Tamandua tetradactyla: one gene and its partner. The protein of the gene in region 1 purifies or fractionates together with the protein of each later gene. This does not show direct contact. Links are inferred from orthologs where the notes say so. Each region holds a gene or a part of one and is shown in the gene's direction. Other genes may lie near its edges.

The links. The genes of interacting proteins can lie anywhere in the genome.
Region 2: the proteins of MAGED2 (region 1) and guanine nucleotide-binding protein G(s) subunit alpha isoforms XLas purify together in Homo sapiens (affinity purification with mass spectrometry; 3 studies listed by BioGRID, counting the BioPlex papers as one, with this or other methods). This does not show direct contact. The link is inferred for Tamandua tetradactyla from reciprocal best matches to the Homo sapiens genes MAGED2 and GNAS.

Annotation. Positions count from the first base shown.
Region 1 is NC_135353.1:113,825,725-113,835,833, reverse strand, and holds the start of MAGED2 (melanoma-associated antigen D2), read left to right. Parts: upstream 1-5,524; 5' UTR 5,525-5,652; intron 5,653-6,187; exon of another isoform or gene 6,188-6,311; intron 6,312-7,143; 5' UTR 7,144-7,168; coding exon 7,169-7,216; intron 7,217-7,322; coding exon 7,323-7,814; intron 7,815-8,437; coding exon 8,438-8,746; intron 8,747-8,865; coding exon 8,866-8,929; intron 8,930-9,194; coding exon 9,195-9,274; intron 9,275-9,761; coding exon 9,762-9,856; intron 9,857-10,109. UniProt on the Homo sapiens protein: Regulates the expression, localization to the plasma membrane and function of the sodium chloride cotransporters SLC12A1 and SLC12A3, two key components of salt reabsorption in the distal renal tubule.
Region 2 is NC_135327.1:26,448,364-26,458,175, reverse strand, and holds the start of guanine nucleotide-binding protein G(s) subunit alpha isoforms XLas, read left to right. Parts: upstream 1-5,266; 5' UTR 5,267-5,281; coding exon 5,282-7,403; intron 7,404-9,812. UniProt on the Homo sapiens protein: Guanine nucleotide-binding proteins (G proteins) function as transducers in numerous signaling pathways controlled by G protein-coupled receptors (GPCRs).

The DNA of each region.
Region 1 (10,109 bases):
TCCAATACGAAAACAAAGAACTAAGATAACTGCAACAACTGACCCCAGAAGAATTCTGGAATTTGGGAAACAAAAGAGAATTTCAGAAAATAAAATGTATAATATTCTCAGCAAGGTTATTAACATCCATATAATAGGAACTAGGTCCCATACAAATGGCTAAAAAGCACATGGAAAGATGCTTGACATCACCAGCTATTAGGGAAATGCAATCAAAACCATGATGAGATATCATTTCACACCTACCAGAATGGCCATAATAAAAACTAACAGAAAACTAAAAGTGCTGGAAAGCATGTGTAGAAAATAGAAATGATTATTCACTGCTGCTGAGAATGTAGAATGGTGCAGCTACTCTGGAAGGCAGTTTGGCGATTCTTCAGGAAGCTGAATGTGGAACTGCCATATAATCCAGCAATCCTGTTACTAGGTATATACTCAAAAGAACTGAAAGCAGGGACGTGAATAGACATTTTTAGATCGATGTTTATAGTGGCATTATTCACAGTTGCCAATAGATGGAAATAGCCCAAGTGTCCATCAACGGATGAATGGATAACCATACTGTGGTAGATATATATGATGGAATATTATGCAGTTATAAGAAGGAATTAAGTCCTGATGCATGCAACAACATGGCTGAACCTTGAGGAAATTATGTTGAGTGAAATAAGCCAGGCACAAAAGGACAAATATCATATAGTATCACTAATATGAACTAATTATAATGAGCAAACTCTTGGAGCTAAAATCTAGAGTATAGGTTACCAGGTGATAGAAAGAGAGTAGAGAATGGGCAGATTGATGCTTAATCTGTAAATAAGGTTTAATAAGGTTGATTGTAAATGTTCAGAAATGGATAACACAACACTACATGGTGGTAGCACAATACCGTAAAGTGACTAACGGTGCTGAGCGTGAGTATGTTTGAAAGGGGAAGTGTAGGGTCGTGTATGTCTTTAGAAGGAAAACTAGGGGATAAAACGTGGGTCTGTATAACATAGCAAAACCTATAGTGGACAATGACTGTGGTTAATTGTACAAATATAAGAAAGTTCTTACATGAACTAGAATAAATGTACATCACTATTATAAGGTGGTAATAATAAGGTGGTATATGGAAAAATACAATTAATGCAAACGGAGGACTATAGTTAACGGTGATATTGAAATATTCTTTCATCAATTGTAACAAAGGCATTATACCAAAGTTGAGTCAATCATGGGGAGGGGGCATAAGGGGTATGGGATACTTTTTTCAGAGAAATGAGAATGTTCTCATATTGATTGTGGTTGTGATGAATAGCTATGTGACTAAACCAAGAACCACTGATTGTTCACTTTGAATGGATTGTACAGTGTATGAATAAAACTGTTTTTTAAAAAGAAACTAGGTTTTACAATACAGGAACAATAAGAGAAAAGAAGGACTACTTGGATATTGACAATAAATTGGTGAAATAAAAAAAAATCAGCAGAAGGACTGGAAAATGATGTACAGGAAATCTCCCAGGATATAGGGCAAAACAAAACAAAACAAAACAGAAAATATAAGAAAATTTAAGACACATAAACCAATCTAGCAGGCTTAATATCTGAATGGAAATCCCAGACAGACATAATAGAAACAATGGAGGAGAATTTGATTAAATCACATTAGAAGTTATGTGTAGGACAGGTATCCAGAACAATGAATGTAGGAAACAGTGGATCCAACCGAAGCCATTACTGCAGCAGCCTCTTCACTGGTCCTCTTTTTTTGCTGTTGTCACTCCTTCCCACCCCCATCAGTGTATTTTTACAGTAGCTGGAGGAATCCATTTTAAAACCCAAGTCATTTTCTGTCTCTCTGTTGTTCAAAATCTTCCTGTGGATCTCACTGTGGCTTATAGGGCCACATTTCCTATTACTTCCCTTCCCACTTTCCCCAGCACTAGCAACACTGATCTTTATACTCTTCAAAATTGCCAGGCATGGAAAAAATAAGTGCCAGACATAGTCCTAACCTAGGGCCTTTGCACTGACTTTTATCTTCTCTCTCTAGACTATCAATTCCAAAGGAGCAAGGATTGCTATCTGTTTTGTTCACTGCTGTATCCTCAGCCCGTAGAACAGTGTCTGGCACATAGCAGACACTCAATAAATATTTGTTGAATGACTGAATATGATAAAGACAAATAATTCAAGGAAAAAAGAAAAGTTATTAGAAACTCTATGTGTGTAGGGGGGGACTGTTAAAAAATCGTAGTCTAAATATTAAGCAAAACAAAATATAGTATGATTGTTAACAGCTGGAGTATAAGAGGAGCTTTCTTTTGACCTCGATGCTAGAGACGTGTTACTCTGAGAGGCCCAGGGATTGTGACATGGACTTGTAGAGAAGGAAATGTATTCCTGGCTCTCTACTTGGCTGAGTTTTGAAAAATATTTACAATGTCACGATAATGTAAATGCTGTCTATTGATTTTCAGGTTTTAGAGTCAACCGGGGGGCAAAGTAGAGAAGACTTGGTTGTGGCTGCAGAGCAAAATATAAATGTTAATAACCTGGATAATGTAAAAGGAATAATGAAACTGACAGTATGATACATTGTATGGGCAGCAGGTAGGTAGTGGTACTAATAACCTTGTCCTAAAAAGTGGACAGTCTCAAAAATGGATGGAACGAGAAATAAAGATTTGATTATATTTTTAAATCAACCAAGAGAAAAACACAAAAGAGTATCACTGTTAAATGTTGCAGAAGAGTGGAGGGAAAAATGAGGCAGTGTACATAAACAAAACCCTCATTTCCATACTGGGGAGTCAGTGGGATATTGTCTAAATTTTATCAACTAAGAAACAGAGGATATGTATATTATCTAGAGTACTGAAGGGTATTGCCAGTAGAACTAAAAATAATAATAATAAATGGTTTAAAGATTGCTTCTTGGGAGTGGGATGGATGGGGAAGATTGAGGCAGGGACTGTTGGTTTTTATCATAAATTCTGTACTATTTTATTTGTTGCCACATATATACATTGCTGTAATAAAAATCAAATGCTAACTTTATGTTGATATTACAACACACAAATAATTATATATCCTATGATGCCTTATGACAATATCAAAATTGGCTTTTGGCTATTCAGTTAGACTCTCCCCTGCTGTAAGTCACCTAGCAAATGTTTATGAAGAGGATCAGAAAGGATATTTTGACACTTAAAATGCTGGAGATAGTGGCTAAGGTAGTGTGTCTGGTGTGAAATAAAGTTGGTGGATGGGGAGCAGGAAAGTGGTCAGCTGATGTCACAAACTTGGAGGAAGCAGCAATTTAGAGAGAGAGGAGACAAGAGAACAAAAGCCTACCTTGAATGCCTGGGAATGTGTGAGTATGCGCATGTTTTAAATTGTCCATGGAATATATGGACTCATGATATTTCACTGTTTAGTAAAGGCCATCAAGCAGAAGGCTTTGTGGCCATTTGAATTACATCGAATTACATGTAGGAAAGATATTGACTATTTTTTCTGTAACTGACCACTGTGCTGAATTTTATTATGGTTTTTCATAATTTTTAAGATGATATTCCTGGGTTTTCCAGGTTAATTAATGACAATTTTGTCTATTTTCCATTATTTATACATTTTATTTTGTTCTCTTGCATGGAGTTAATTACTTATGTGAATCTAATATGTGTGATGGCTTAGAGCTGTGCACCCTAGAAAAACATGTTCTTAAACTTCATTCATTCCCATCAGTGTGAACCCCTTGTAAATATGACATTTCAATGAGGTTACTTCAGTTAAGGTGTGTCTCAGTTGGATCAGGATGCGTCTTAATCCTATCACTGAAGACCTTATAGGGAAGGAAGGCCAAAATGGTAGAGAAGCCACAGGGAGCAGCCACAAGCTGGAAATCAACAGAACCTGGAAGAGTAAAGGAGAGGCCTGGAGAGGCCTCCATGTATATTGCTATGTGACAGAAAAGCCAAGGACCAGCGATCTCTTGCAGCCAGCCCCAAAACATAATTGTCTTCTGGGAGAAAGCATTGCTTTGACAACTCCTTAATTTCGGACTTCTCCTAGTCTCCAAACTAAGCCAATAAATTCCCATTGTTTAAGCCAACTCATTGCATGGTATTTGATTTAGCAGCCATGAAACAAAATAATGTGTGATTAAGTCATCATTTCAGATCAATAGCAGAGTGGATTAGTTTGTACATGATATATGGATAGTGATTATGATTTGGGGACATTAATAAAACTGAATTCCCTACCTCACTCCTTTTACTAAAGCAAATTTTGGAATGATAAAAATTTTAATGTAAATAATAAAGCCATAAAAGTGATTGAAAAAAACAGGGTGGGCCATGGTGGCTCAGTGGCAGAGTTCTCGCCTGCCATGCCCGAGACCTGGGTTTGATTCCCGGTGGTCACCCATGCAAAAAAAAAAAAAAAAAAGTGATTGAAAAAAACAAACAGGAATTGTTGTAGTTTAGGAGTGTGGAAAGCATCTCTAAGCATGATGCAGAACCCAGATATGATAAAGGAAAAAAAACTGATATATTTGAGTAAATAATAAACTATTTTGTATAGCAAAAATGATCATAAATAACATGAACAGTATTTGCAATATATGCAGCGCATAAATATATGAGGACATTATTGCTGGGAATGTTATTCCATGTATCTTTTGGGCTGTAACTTGACAAATTTTGTATCAAAATGGAAGACTTTTTGTAGCATTTGGGTTAGCAAAACATACCATAAATAACAAACATATTTGACATAGAAACATATGCTAAATACCATTGGTGAAAGTATTATTCAGTTTAATATTTTGGGGAGGCAAGTCTGCAAATCTTGTATTAAAATGGAAAACTTTTCTAGTACTTGACTTAGCAATTCCACTTCTATGAGTTTATCCTACAGATACAAGCACAATTGCAGAAGGATACAGATACAAGAATTCTCCTTGTAGCATTGTTTGTAATAACAAACAAAAATAAAACCAAAAAAAAGGAAGCAATCTAAATGTCCATGGATACTCGGCTGGCTAAATAAATTATGGAGCAAGTATATTAGAAAAGATCATGCAGCTAAGAAAAATGTGAACTGAGATAGATGTTCAGAATATATAACTGGAAAAAATCTAGTTCACGAATGACTAGTGTACCATTTGTGTACCATATAAGTGTGCCATTTGTGGGGGGAAACCCAAGTAATAAGTATATGAATAGAAAAAGCTGGTGGGATGCATGTCAAAATATTGAGTGGTTATTTCTGGGGGATGGGATAAGGGCAGTACTTCACTGGTATGTTATATATTTCTGCATTATTAGAATTTTCACGACAAGACAGTACCTTTGTAATAAGGTAAAATAATGATATAAAAATAAACAAATTCAATGAATGAAGGGCTTTGAGGGGGTGGTTTTGGTTGGAAAGGCTTCAGACCAAGCCTAGTACAGTGGCATAGGGCTTTGGCGTCAGACAGCCTTGAGCCGGGCCCCATTGCCCCACCCCCGAGGAAGGCGAAGGGTGGGGTGGCAGGGGGCTGCGGAAAGGGGCTGGGCTGGGCTGGGCTGGCTGCAGCTTTAGCCCTGGAGTCTGAGACTTCGAGAAGGACTGAGAGAAGGCAGACGCATTCCGGACTCGGTCGCGGACTAGGTGAGGGTCGTTGAGATTGGGGTTCCCTCGCAGTTAGACAGTGGTTCCAGCTTCTTTGAACCCATAGCTAGGCAGGTGGGCAATTCTTACTGCAGCACTGCAGCTGGCGGAGACGTGACCCGGAGTGGGGTGCAGCTACGACGACTGATAGAGTAGTAGGCTGTAGGGACTGGGGAGTAGAGAATAGCGGGTGAGGAGGGGAAAAACCGGGAATCCGGCATGTCGGGTGGGGGACGCGGTGTACGACGGGGGAGGGGAACACTGAAGGGGAATGGAGATCCAGAGAAGAGAATAGGGATGCACAGAGGGATTAAGGAATAGTGGGGGGTGGGGGAGCATAGGTAACACGGAGGAGGATGTACGGAATGGAAATAGAAAATTCCGTGGGGGCAAACAGAAAACGTGATGGGGGAATAGGGAATACGGAACGAGGGACTACGGGGGTGGGGTGGGGAATAAGGAATGAGGAGCAGGGAATGGGGGAGGGGCAGACAGGCTGGGACTGAGGCCCCCTAGGGAGGCGGAAAGGGGCGGGACCACTTCCGGCCTGAAGGGGGGAGGGCAGTCTTCGAGTTTCGGAGGGGCTTGGAGAGATCGCACGCAATTTGGGGCTTGTAGGAGGACGAGGTGAGCTGGGCCCAGCTTCGGATCAGAACCGGGTAGGTGTTGGCCCCACCCTCTGGGATCTGGCGAAAACCTGCCATAAGCACCGGATCATACTGGATCCGTCCGGCTGGGAAGGGAAGGCACTGGACCCGGTTTGGCCCGGCGCAAGATGGAACCACTAGTTCAATACTGATCTGAGGAGGGGGATGTATTAGGGAAGGGTCACTTTGCCCTATTTAGAGGGGGGTGTGTTAGGAAAAAGGGCGGGACCAGGAGGCACTGTGGACCTGGTGGGGTGGGTGTAAGTTGGGGAGGGGCCGGGGCCACCAGACACTGGGATAATTTGGGTGAGAGGCTTGTTGGAGACGGGGCGGGAACTAATGGTACTGGAAACCTGGAGAGAGGCGTGTGTTGGGAAAGGGTGCTGGGCTGAGACCATTACCAGCGCGCATGCGTACTATGGATCGCTAGAAAGGGGCGTGTAGAGAAGGGCCGACCGGGAGACGGGCCTGCTGCCGAGTGCGCATGTGCACGGTGGACCGCAAAGAAAGGGCTTGTGTTAGAAAAGTAGGCGGAGCTGAGATGGGCCTTGCAGCGGACGCGCATGCGTACTATCGACCTGCGGCTGGGGGTGCATTGGGAAAAGGGGCGGGGTCCTTAGAGCTGCCGCGCTGGCACATCTTCCTGTAGAAGGGGAGGGTGCGGCTGCGGAGAATTGGGCTCTAGACGCTCTGGATTCCTTTATCTGAGAACGAAGTCGTTGCGGTTGGGGATGGGGGAGGTGTGGGATTGGGGCCCTAGGGAAGGTGAGGGTCAGCCTTAAGCAGAAAACGGAAGAGTACGTTCAGTGAGCTCTGCCGTTGACCTAGGCTTTCTTTCCTTCAGGCTCTTTTGCTAGGCAATTTGAGAAATGTCTGACGCAAGTGAGAGTGGTGGTGCGGGTCCATCCCATCTCCAGGTGAGGCCACCTCTTGTCCTCTTCCCAGCCCTGGGATTTTTGAGCCATTTGCCTAGTTGGGGGTGGGGAGAAGGTTCTTGAACTTTCCGGCTTCCTCTTCTTGCAGGCTGAAGAAGCTTCAGAAGAAAACAGCCTGATGATGCAGACCCTATTGACAGTGACTCAGAACTTGGAGGTCTCAGAGGCACCAAAGGCCTCAAAGACATCAGAGGTCTCAGAGACCCTAAAGGTCTCAAATACCCCAGGGGCCTCAAAGACCACAGAGGTCTCAGAGGCCCCAGAGTCTCAGGAGGCAGCTGCTACCCAGGCCTCATCTACCACTCAGCTTACTGATACCCAGGTTCTGGCAGCTGACAGCAAGAGTCCACCTGCTGACACTAAAATGCAGAATACTGACTCGCAGGCTGTGACAGTACCTGCCAGTGAGCCCAAAGAGGTCAGCTGTATGGGTAGCACCCAGGTCATTACAAAGGCCCTGGAAACTGAGGCTGCTGCCTCTCAGGCTCTGGCAGATAAACCTGAGTCTGAGGATACAGCTGCCCAGGCTCAGGAGAATCAGGATACCCGGCCCAAAGTCAAGGCCAAGAAAGCCCGAAAGGTAAGAGCTCTGTAGTTTCCACCCTGGCGTTTCCATTCCCCCTGTTGGTTCATTTGTTATATAAAAAGTTACCAAGGTTCCCTGTGCTCTTCAAGACTGTGGGAACACTGAGAGAAATGTGATATAGTTCGTATTTTCAGAGAACTTACATTGGGGGAGAGATGAGATATGAATATACTTAGTTGCAATCTGAATATAATTCAGTTTATATTTACCATGTGTTAGGACTTGAGCTAGGCACATTCACACAGGTTATCTCATTGAATTTTGAAGGTAACTCCTACCAGTTAGGGATCATAGTCTTAGTGTTATGGAGAAGGAAGCTAAGCCACAGAGAGATTAAGTGACTTGTCCAGGGTAGTACAGGCAGAGCCAGTAGTGGATATAAGAAGAGAAGAAGCCTTACGTCCCACCCTTGCAGTGTTTCTGGCCTGGTGGGGAGATTAAACTCCTGCCTGGAAGTCAGTGAAAGACAAACTCAAGACTCTGTATGACACCAGAGGCTAGTGAAGCAGGCTGTTATTATGGGGTGGGGTTGGGGAAGCTTCCTGGAAGTCTCAGCATGAGGAAAAATGACCATCTGCTTCATCTGGTGATGTTGAGCTCCCTCTTTGTTGATACAGGTGAAGCATCTGAATGGGGAAGAGGATGGCAGCAGTGATCAGAGTCAGGCTTCTGGAACCACAGGTGGTCGAAGGGTCTCAAAGGCCCTAATGGCCTCAATGGCCCGCAGAGCCTCAAGGGGCCCCATAGCCTTTTGGGCCCGCAGGGCATCGAGGACTCGGTTGGCTGCTTGGGCCCGGAGAGCCTTGCTGTCACTGAGGTCACCTAAGGCCCGTAGGGGAAAGGCTCGTCGTAGAGCCGCCAAGCTTCAATCATCCCAAGAACCCCAAGTGCTGCCACCTCGGGATGTAGCCCTTTTGCAAGGCAGGGTAAGAACTCTGGCCGTTCCACTCTGGTTTTTCTACTGCATTGTCTGCCCTCTGCTCTGCCATGCTCTCAAATCTTCTGGAAACATATCTGATCTTTCCATCTTTTCCTCTTCTCTCAGGCAAATGATTTGGTGAAATACTTGCTGGTTAAAGACCAGACAAAGATCCCCATCAAGCGCTCAGGTAAAGCCTTACTAACCATCAGCTCTCCCTGAACTCTGCTCTCCATTGCCCTCTCTCCCATGTGCTGGGGGCATCCTTTGCTCTTATGCTCAGACCAGTGTCCTCCCGTAGTTCTACTTTGGCAGTGCTCGCATTTGTGTTCATTAGCACAGAACCGTGCTACACCACCCATAGCATGGTTGGCAAGGGTCTATAGCTTGGGCAGGGCATGGGGGCCGCCTGGCTTCTCTTCAGCCCAGGTGCTCGCAACACTCTCCCCTTGCAGACATGCTGAAGGACATCATCAAAGAATACACTGATGTGTACCCTGAAATCATTGAACGAGCAGGCTATTCCTTGGAGAAGGTGAAGGGGTAGCCCTGGGGGATGGGCACAATGGGGAAGCCCTGAACAAAGGTGTACATGTCCCTTCTGGGAGGGACCACATATACTTGCTAATCCAGCCCTATCACTGGCAAGATGGTAGCCTAGGGAGGGGCATAGACTAGCCATGAATTACATAGCCAGTCAGAGGTAAAAGCACAGCTAGGACCCAGTCCACCCAAATTCTTAGTTGTGGCTTCTGTCCACTATTGGACGCATCCTGTGATGTATTTCAGATGATTACCTCTCCCTTCCATTCCCCATTCTCTGTCTCCTTAGATTCCCATTAATTGCATAGAAAACAGTAGTGCATTTATTCCGTGATTACTGTGTGCCAGGCACTTAGCTAAGTATTTTACATGCATTATCTCACTTATTTCTGACACTCAAAACCCTAGGTACATGGGGAACTGTGGTTGGCTAGGAAGCTGAATTTTTTGGCCTCATGAGGTGTTCTCCCCATCCATAGGTTTTTGGAATCCAATTGAAGGAAATCGATAAGAATGACCACTTGTACATTCTTCTCAGCACCCTAGAGCCCACTGATGCAGGCATACTGGGAACGTAAGCTGGGGAAGGGATTGGGTAGAAGAGGATTTTCTGTTTTTGTCTGTTACTATCCCTTCCATGTTTTCTCTCTTATACACTCTTAGAGAGTCAGGAAAGACAGGGATTTAAATGCTCTATTCCAATTCCTGCGTAGTTGGAGCCCTACACTCATAGTGGTGCCTGATTTTGAAGGGTATAGAATAAGTCTGGGCTAGGGCATTCTTGTCAGGTTTTTTATCCCTCCAGAAGCTTCCCAGAAGAGCAAGCC
Region 2 (9,812 bases), on another chromosome or scaffold:
TTTGGCAATGAATAAGAATCCCAAAAATTAAGTATAAACACAATCATTTGTTGATTCTAATTTATGCTGTCCTGAAGACATTTCCACTGTAGTGAGAAGACAGTTTGGGAAGGCCCAGGGCACCATGTGAGGATGCCAAGGAAGTGGACTACCTTCCTACAGGTGGTAGTGGTACCATTCGGAGAGTCAACACTGAAGAAGTTAAGTTCTTTCCATTTGGGGATATCTATTTACACAGTCTGTTAATTTGATACCTGTGGCACCTGGGCCATTTGCTCAAACAGGCCTAACTTTCTTCAGAAATGCAGAGTTAGTGGAAACATATGTAGCATTTCCCATCCCTTTCTTAAGTCATCATTGTAGAAAATCTATTATTTTTAAATAGCCAAGTATACACAATTTTCAAGAAACTGTCATCTGAGTTTATACAGGCAACCCCTTCCCCCTCAGACACAGCACATGGCCGCGTTCCAGCCCTTCCATCTACCACACGCTCTTAGTCAAGGCCCTGGCAGTCTTTATCCTTCATCCAACTTACTCCTCTTTCAGGCACCCTGACTAGCCTATCTTGACTTCCTCTTCCTTTGCTATATGAACCCATTAATTGATTTCCTTGTCCCTGCTCATTTCTATCAAATATTTGCCTCTTCCCTGATGGAAAACCATCCAGAATTGTTACAAAATTGTAGTGGATGAGTCTAAAAACTACTGCCCGTTATGGGCCCTGGACTAGGCTGCCCACCAACACCCATCCCCAGGCAGTACATGAAGACTGGGTTCTATCTTGAGCCAGTGAGACAGCCAGCTTGCTTGCAGCAGGCTCGATAGACTGCCCTACAGTTAGAGTGCCCCCAGCCAGCCATTTACTGATCACACATAGATCTTATCATACCACCTTCCTCAAATCCCCAAGCCAGTCCTCAGGCTACCTTTCTGATCAGTCAGCTCCTCAAATATCTGGCCATGCTTCTGGGGTCTCTCCTCAAGCCGCACAGCCAATGTGTTGTTGAGTTTCACTCTTAACCCCACTTGCCCAAGTGATGTGAGGTTTTCAGCTTATAGTAGCCAGTCACTACAGAAAAATAAAAGTGGACAAAAAGGGAAACATTAGGGTTCTTAAGTGTTAGGATTTATTCTCCCTGGTCCTAATTTAATCTGAAGGTGATTCCTACTCAAGTCTCATTGTCCTTTCTCATCCTGCAGCAGTGGTTCTTAATGGGGGGCAATTTTGCCCCCCAGAGGATGTTTGGCAATATCTGGAGATATTTTGGGGTTGTTACAACTAAGAAGATGCTGCTGGCATCTAGTGGGTAGAGGCCAGGGATGCTACTAAGTATCTTTAACTGTATAGGATAGTCCCCACACAACAAAAGAATTCCAACCCCGAGTATCAGCAGATTTCATATGCTGACCACTTCCTAACTTCCCTCTGGGGTTCCCCCACCTGCCCCTTAGCCCTCACTGCCCTCTCCAGTGGCCCAAATATTGGCTTTGTCCAAGATTCTATCACCAAGTATATTTCTCCCCTTGAGAGTATTTTCTGATCCAGTGATTTCATCTCCTGCTAAGGACAATTATCAATTTGAATTTATTGGCTTTGCCTTCTTTTAAACTTAGACCCATCCTCCTAGTGTGTCACAACCTCCATCAAAACTGCCCATCAACTCTGCAGTGTCTAAAACTAAATTGGCTCCGCCACCATGCCGGCTCCTCCCCACTTCCCCCATCTCACTCATGGCTGGCCAGCCAAGTGCCATTGGGCCCCCTCCGCTTTTGTGCATTTCTAGCACAGAATTTCAGGAGATCCTGCTCCCCTGACTGTGTGTGGCTCACTCCCTAAAAGGTCACAGCCAGCCATGGCCTCCTTTGTGCACACACATACCCATTCCTTTGTTCTCTTCCTGAGGGCTCCTCCATGCTGCCTCAATCCTTCCTAAAACATGGCTCAAAACATAACTTGCAGGACAAAAAAAACTTTCCATGTCCTCTCTATTTCCTTCAAAAATAGCCTCAAAAGTGTTTGCCCTAGCCCACAGCATCCTCAGAGACATTCTTCTATTTTCCTTGCTTTTCTTCCTCTGCCCCTCCAAGAGCCCAGATGGCTTATTCTGTTACCAGGTCATGCCCCATGCTTCCTACCACTGGATCTTTTGTTCCCGGTGAGCTGGCTCCCATCCCCCCACCTATTCATAGCCAAGGCATCTATCCTTGACGCCCATTTGAAACGCCATTTCTTCCTACACCAAGCCTTCCCGGGTCCCCCCCTCCCCCCATCCCAAGTGGAAGTCTTTCTTTCATTTTTATGCTGCTATTTCCTTTGGGGGGGGGCTGGTATCTGCCCAGCCTTGATCCCCTCCATGTATGTGCTCCCCTGTCAAATAACCAAGATAAGCCAAAAGAACGTTGAACAAAGGGGGTCTCACGGGCCCAAGACAACGTTGCACAAAGAGGCCCCAAAACCATCCCTTGATGGATGCCTTGGGAAAGAGATCTCAAATTCGCACCATCCGAAGTGAGGTGGGCTGAGCGCAAGGCCTGGTGTGAACAAAGGTTCCTTCTGGGGTCCCCAGCGCGATCTCCCTGGGACTCAACCCCAGCGTCTACTGACCTTCCACTTTTGCAGGTCTCAGCATTCCTGGGGTCAACAACTGCATCGGGGCGGGAAGCCCTCTCCTCAGGGTCCTGGATCTCTACCTCCAGGCCCTGGAAATCTTCTTTCTCCTCACCTCGCCCCAGCGGCGGTCCCCTATGTTAGGCAGGTTCGCCAACCGCCATCAGCGAGACCAAGGGTCGACCCCTTGGAGCCCCTGGCCTCCCCACCCAGTCTTTGTGACTTGTGGTGTCAGGCAGAGTGACCCCACGGCGTTAACCGACCTCGTGGCCTCCCAGGCCTGGCGGCCATACACCCGCCCACCAACGGCTTCCAACCACCCTACCAACACCTCTTTGGGCGTTCCAACGCGGCGCCCCCTATTGGACCTCCCACCCATATCCGGTTTCCGGTCGGACGCCCCCTGCTCATTCGCCAGGAAGACTTGATTGGCGTGACCCCAGCCCAATGGCTGACCCGGTGCTGGAGTTGGAGGGGGAGTGAGTTGGCTATTGGGACCCAGTGGGCCCATTCAGTAGGTTCCCAAATGGCTGAGCTATGGTGCGTGCGGGTAGTTGGCCGAAGTTTGAACCAGAGTTCAGTGTTGGCATTTGGAAGCATGTAGTCCCATAGGGAGGAGGCAAAGCGCCTTTGGAGGGACCCCCAGACGTTAGTTCAGCTTTACCAGCGTTCCTCCCCCACAACAGCCCCCTGCACGGTGGGTGGGGGGGAGGTCGGGGCTCGGTAGCTGTGGTACCCTCCTTCTGAGGAAGAAGGACGCGTTAAACTTAAGATCGGACCGTGCTGTGGTTCGCCCGCAGCGGCTTGTGGTTATAGCGATCCCGAGATCCAGGCGGTGCGTCCTGCGAGCGGCAGCCCACCCGATGTGGCAATCAGCGGGCCATCCCTTCCCTATGGTTCCGCAGACCAAGCAACCACCTGTCCCTTCCCAAAGTGCTCGCCAGTCTGTGCTACCCGCTGGGCAGGCTGCCCGCGCGTGCGAGATTTTCTCTCCTGGGTTGCAGGTTTTCCCCTGGGTCAGATCCCTCCGCAGATCCCCAGACCCGGCGCGGTACACAGCACGCGCCGAGTCCACCCAGACACGACGGGTGTTTACCCCTGTGGGCTCTGAGCCCACCCTGTGCTATGGTAATAGCGCAGCCGGGCGACCACTGGCTTGTGGCCGGGCTTAGTGGTGCTTCTGCGTGTTCTAGCAATGGGAAAGTAAAGCGGTAACCCTGAGACACCCTTAGCAAGAAGAAAGGAGCTGAAAGGGCGCTGCGGAAGGGCCAGGGGACTAGTTGGACTTGCCGCGGGTGCTAGAGCCTTGGAGCCGCGTGGTGCCGCGGCACTGTGTGTGTGCCTTTGGATTCAGCGTGCTCAGAGGTGCCAATCTCCGAGACTATTCCAAGCCGGCCATAAACCTGGACCTAAATCCACTTTGTCTCTTCCCCAGAATGGTGCGAACTGCAGAACTCCCAGGCCTCCACTCTGTGGGGTCTCCATGTGCGCCCCGCACTCCCGGGTTCTGGGCTGCCGCGCCGCCGCCGCCACCGCCGTGACTTTTCCCGGGAGGTTTTGCCTGGCATTCAGTGGTGCACGCCCAAGACCCTCTTATTCACTCTGCCTCACCCTATACAAAAACGTGGAGAGACCCCCTGCCCGCGCTGCTCTAGGCCACTGCGTAGACCCCTAGAGTTTGGTGGGGATGGGGGACTTTGAAGGGCTTCACGGAAGCCAGCCTCGGCAAGCAGCAAAGGAAAACTGCAGAAGAGATGGAAAGTGCCCTAAGGCGATTTAAAAGCAATCATGTGCAAGCACTCGGCAGCCCCTCACTTCCCCTCCACCTTTCCGGTGGGCTCACGACCACCTGTCGCATTCTCATGCGCTATCATCCCCCTTCCCGGGCTCCCAGAGCCTTGCGCTATGGACTTGGAACTGCCGGGAACTTGGAGCTTGGGATCGGGGGCTTTCCGGGACTGGGGGCTGCGGCTCAGAGGTATCTTGAGGTGAGACACCCTCCTGCAGTAACCCCTCCCTGGGGGGTAGAGTCGGTTAGGTCAGGGAGGCAGGGTTTCAGCTCCTGCGTTCAACCTGCCCGGGACCCACGTCTTGCGTCACGTGTCCCGCAACGCAGGGAGAGCTTTCTCTCTGGCCAGGGATGAAGCGAGGAGAAAGCCTCCAAATCGTCAGGGAGAGGAGTGGAAGGAACCAAAACGTCCCTCGGAGGCCTGCGCTCATCGCTCATCAGCCCCTTACCCAAAGTCCGGGGTTGCGAGTGCCAGGAGCCAGCGTCCCCTGGTGGCAGAGAGCGGGCACTACAGACGATTTTCGGACCGAATCGGCACGCTCCTCAGATCCAAGCAGGCGGAGCTAGCCTGGAGCAGAGGGGGAGAGAGAGAGAGGAGGGACAAGGACAAGGACAAGGGGGGGCCAAGGGGGCAGCTAAGGGGATAAAAAGTGGCCAAGAAGGGACCAAGAGTCCACCAGCAACGGTAGAGTTGCTACTGCTATGGTCCAGGGTCTGAAGTGTTGAACTACCAGACTTCACCCAGGTTGAGCAGTGAGGTTGGAGAACTTTCTAATTGGTACTTCGATTTTTTTTTTCCAAAAAAATTTTTTCACCCTAGTTTGGTTGGGTGCTCCGTCTTACGGGGCCCCCAAATTATCTTGAAAGGCCGCCACCGTGTTATGGGCCTGCGCAACCGCCTCGACGGCAATCATATGTCAGGACAACGCGATATCCCCCTTGAATTCGGGGAGCAGCCCAACCAACCACCTTTGGAGGCCCCAGGGGCAGCTGCCCCCAGTGCTGGGCCTGGCGCAGCCGAAGCGATGGAGACCGAACCGCCTACCAGCGAGCCCATCCCGGTCAAGACTAGCGGTGAGGCCTTTGGATCGCCTGAGGTCTCCGAGCCCTGTTCCCAGGGCCTCGGCCTGGCCTTCCAGGAAGCTGGAGCTTGTGGAGGCCATAGTCCACCTCCCGAAGAAGTCAAGCTCTTCCAGACCGAGGAGCCCAGCGTGGGAGGCCTCTGGCCTACCCAGGAGCAACCTAGAACCTTCGCTGGGGCCCGTGCAGGGGCCAGTGCAAGCCTCGAGGCCTTTGGCCCAGCAGCAATGGAGCCCCAAGCCTTCGATGGTGCCAAGTCAGGCCTGGGAGGCTACAGCCCTCCACCAGAGGAAGCTCTGCCCTTTGAGTTTAAGCAGGGAGGCTGCAGTCCACCTCCCTTGCAGCTCGGAGCCCTCTCTCCGGCCAGCCCAGGTTTGGGGGTCACCAGCGCTCCCCCAGAGGAGCCTGGACCCCCCAGGTCTGCAGACGCAGGCTTTGGAGGATCCAGCCCTCTCCCTGAAGAGGCTATGTCATTTCGGTTCGAGGGAGCAGGCTTTGGGTACGACAGCCCACCCTCTGGGCTCTCCCAAGTCCTCCCAGAGACCGACCGCGGGGCCCAGGTCTCAGCAGTCGCGGTCCCGAGCGCGGTCCGCCTCACTCCCGCCGAGAACGCGCCCCCCCTCTGGGCCCCGGGCGCCATCGACAGTCCAGTCCGAGAGGCTGTCAGACCTCCTCTTCACTTCGCGGGTGACAGCCCCCCGCTGGAGATCGCCCGACCCCAGCTCAAGATTGGCAGCGCCCCCATTGGGGTCTACGACGCTCCCGTCAACATGGACAGCCCCCCAATCGCGCTTGACGGCCCGCCCATCGAGGTCTCCCGAGCCCCAGTTGAAAGAGAGCGAGCAGAGCCAGGGAGACCCCCAGTTGAGGGTGAAGCAGCCGAGATGGAAGGAAGCTCAGCCACTGCTCCCGCCGAGGGAGGTAAAGTACCTTCTCTCGGGAACGGAGCCCCTGATGCCAGGGACGGTGCCCCTGACTCCCGGGACGGAGCCTCTGACGCCGGGGACGGAGCCTCTGATGCTGGGGACGGAGCCCCTGACGCCGGGGACGGAGCCCCTGACGCCGGGGACGGAGCCCCTGACGCCGGGGATGGAGCCCCAGACGCCGGGGATGGAGCCCTTGACGCCGGGGATGGAGCCCCAGACGCCAGGGACGGAGCCCCTGATGCCGGGGACCGAGCTCCAGACACTCCAGACACCGGGTGTGCCGCTGATGCCCCTGCAGCCCCTGACGCCCCTGCCACCCCTGACGCCGGGGCCACCGCTGCCACCCCTGACGCTCCCGCTGCCGGGGCCGCTGCTGCCGCCCCTACAGCCCCTGCCACCGGGACCGCTGCCGCGGTCTCTGCAGCCCCTGCCACCCCTGCTGCCAGGGCCGCCCCTGCTGGCCGGGTCACCAGAGCCGACGTCCCTACCCGGGCATCAAGCAGGCTCAAGATGCAGCGCCTTAGACCCCCCAGCCCCGAGATCCAGGCTGCTGACCCGCCTACTCCGCAGCCTGGTCGCTCGGCTTCCCGGCGGGGCCCCAGGTCCGACCGCAGCGACGACGAGGAGTCCGTCAGCAGCGATGAATCCTCTGCCAGCAAAGACGACCCAGGAGAGGGGACCTCCGGAGGCCGCCGCTGGGGGCAGCCCCGGAAGAACCGCCGCCGCCGCCGCAAGCCCCGGCGCAACTTACTCCGCAACTTCCTCATCCAAGCCTTTGGAGGCTGCTTTGGGCGATCCGACAGCCCCCAGCCCAAAGCTCCTAAGCCCCCCAAAGTCAAGAAGGTTTCACTGGCAGAGAAGCGCAGACAGATGCGCAAAGAAGCGCTCGAGAAACGGGCTCAGAAGCGCGCCGAGAGGAAACGCAGCAGACTCATCGACAAGCAACTCCAGGCTGAGAAGATGGGGTACATGTGCACGCACCGCCTGCTGCTTCTAGGTAATGCGGTGGACGCTCCCCACTAGGAGCAGAGCCGCCGGTGGGGCCCGGGAGGGGGTGGCAGGGCTGCCCAGTGGGGTTCGGGGCCTGGCGGCCGGAGGAGGGGGTCCGGGCAAAGGCAGGAAAAGCCTGCTCGGAAGTTCCTGCAAGGGACCCTAACTTTACCCTGGGAGCGGGAGGGTACCCGGGCAGGCTCCGGGGGCCGAGGTGTGTGCCCTCCAGGGAGAAAAGTGGCGCAGAGCGACATTGAGGGTCGTTTCGGGCTGGACAAGCCGGCACCAGCGACAGTAAGCTGCCCCGGAGCCTTGGGGTGGGGGCCGGCAGAACAGGCGAGGGCTTCAGGTGAGCCAGGAAGCGCTGAGGAGGGGGCTGGTGCCTCCCCAGGCGAGGACGGTTTGGGCCGCGGTGGGTTGGGGACGTCGGGAAAGGTGTGCCCCCGCCTCGCCTGGCACGGCTGCTTGGACTCGGAAAGCTTGTGTTTGGTATGTGTTAGTGTCCGTATCCTGTGTCTGCCTGTGCATGATCAGCTCAAGTATCCCCAGTTACCCCAACCCCGGCACCCCAAATTACCCGCCGACTGTGTACTTGTACTGGAGAAGTGGCTTTCTGTGTTTTGCGCTATGGCGCGGTAAAAAAAACTTTCCGTGTTCGCGCACTCTGGTGGTACCTGTACGTTGGCGCTCTGCAGCGGGCAGCGCGAAAATACAGAGGGGAAGGTGGCTGGACATCTTGGGTTGAGGGGCCTTGGCGTGAGGGGGCCGGTGCACACCGGCCTCCATAACCTTTTTTTCTGTGTGTTTCTCTCTTTTTCCCTCTGCGCTAAACGTTTTCCTCACTTCTTATTCGTTCACCAAACCCTCCCGCCTTTTACGTTGAAAAACCAGACACACAGGTATCTGGGGCGTCCAGGACTGCACCCAAAGATTCAGCATTCTGCGCACACTCAGCTTACCTTGTAGGGGGTGGAGGAGAGGGGTCGGGCGGGGGGCACTTAATCTGCTTTGGGCAAGTCTAGATCCAAAAACAAAAAAAAAGAAAAGAAAATCCACTCTGGGCTGACTGGGCTGGTTCCAAGGGGGTGGGCGTGGCTGTGTTTTAAAAAAATGAAATAATTTTTTTTCCCCCAGGGAAGAGCCCGAGGTAAGCCAATCATTTACTCTTTTACATAGAAAACAGTAGGAGAGGCTTGATTTAAAAGGTGGTGGTGGGGGGGGGGGGTTGGCAGTGCAGTTCCACTCGTGTTTGAAATGCAGTTAAAATAAAATGCTTTAAAAAAAATTGCTCCGAGTGTATTTTACCTGTGTGAACAAAATGGTAAAACAGTGGATATGACTTGTGAAATATGTCAGTGTTTGCATGTAAATTTTTTCTAGCAGCTTTAGCTGGTGGCCCAGAGGCTCAAAGGTAAGGTTCTGTTGCTCAGCTCTAAATACAAAAAATGTTTCAAAAGACTTGTAACTTAAGTTGGAATAACCATATTCTGACCAGAAGGGTACCTCCTTCCCCACCCTCTCTCTCAGTGTCCTCTCCCCTCTCCAGCACCCCCTGCCTCACCCCAAAACAAAACCCTTTTCCCCATCTCCATTCCCCACCCCCACCCCTTCTCCTCAAAACTCTTCCCATCTCATTCTGGGACATTAATTAACTCTTTTTGCCATGGTTAATCAAAGCAGCAATTAGCAATACTCTGAATCTGTGGCTTAAATGAAGATCTCTAAACTGAAGCACCACAATCTTAATTTCTTTATTTTATTCTCTAAAACCTTTCAAGGGATTTCAAGATCACAGTTTCTAAGACTGTGCTACATTTGTCTGTTAAATATTGTATAATGTGTGATGGATTTCATTAATGCCACAATTGATATAACTATGCTATTGTGATATTTCCTGCTATTTTTAAGTGATTATCATTTTATTTATGCCCACCAAAGGAAATAATGACCTTATCATTTTCCCAAAAAACATACAGAAGGGAGATAGCTTAAATTTCAGATGTCCCAACTGCACTAAAGCCACAGAGCCATGTTTCCCTGTAGACAACTGCATTTGCCCTAACATCCCCCATATCAATATTTCAAGCAGAGCTCTGGGAAGCAAACCTGCAACAGAGATGGAGTAGAGGGACAACTGGACACAGACAGCAGACCCAAGTGACAGGATACTCCTGGCCCCTAATTGGCAGATCCCCTTTATGTGCTGAGGCTCAGTTGGTTCATTTAGGGAATGAAAATTTTTTTTCCCACCCAGGTCTCGTTTAACTCAATGACTTGGGCCCCTATTTTCTAGAGTAGTGAAGGGGGGAGCACAGTCCACTGAAATCAGGACTGGAGGCTCAGACCATAGATTATGCAAACATAAATCCTGCAGTACATTGCCTATATCTGGGTCAGATTTTAAGAATTTCCTTTC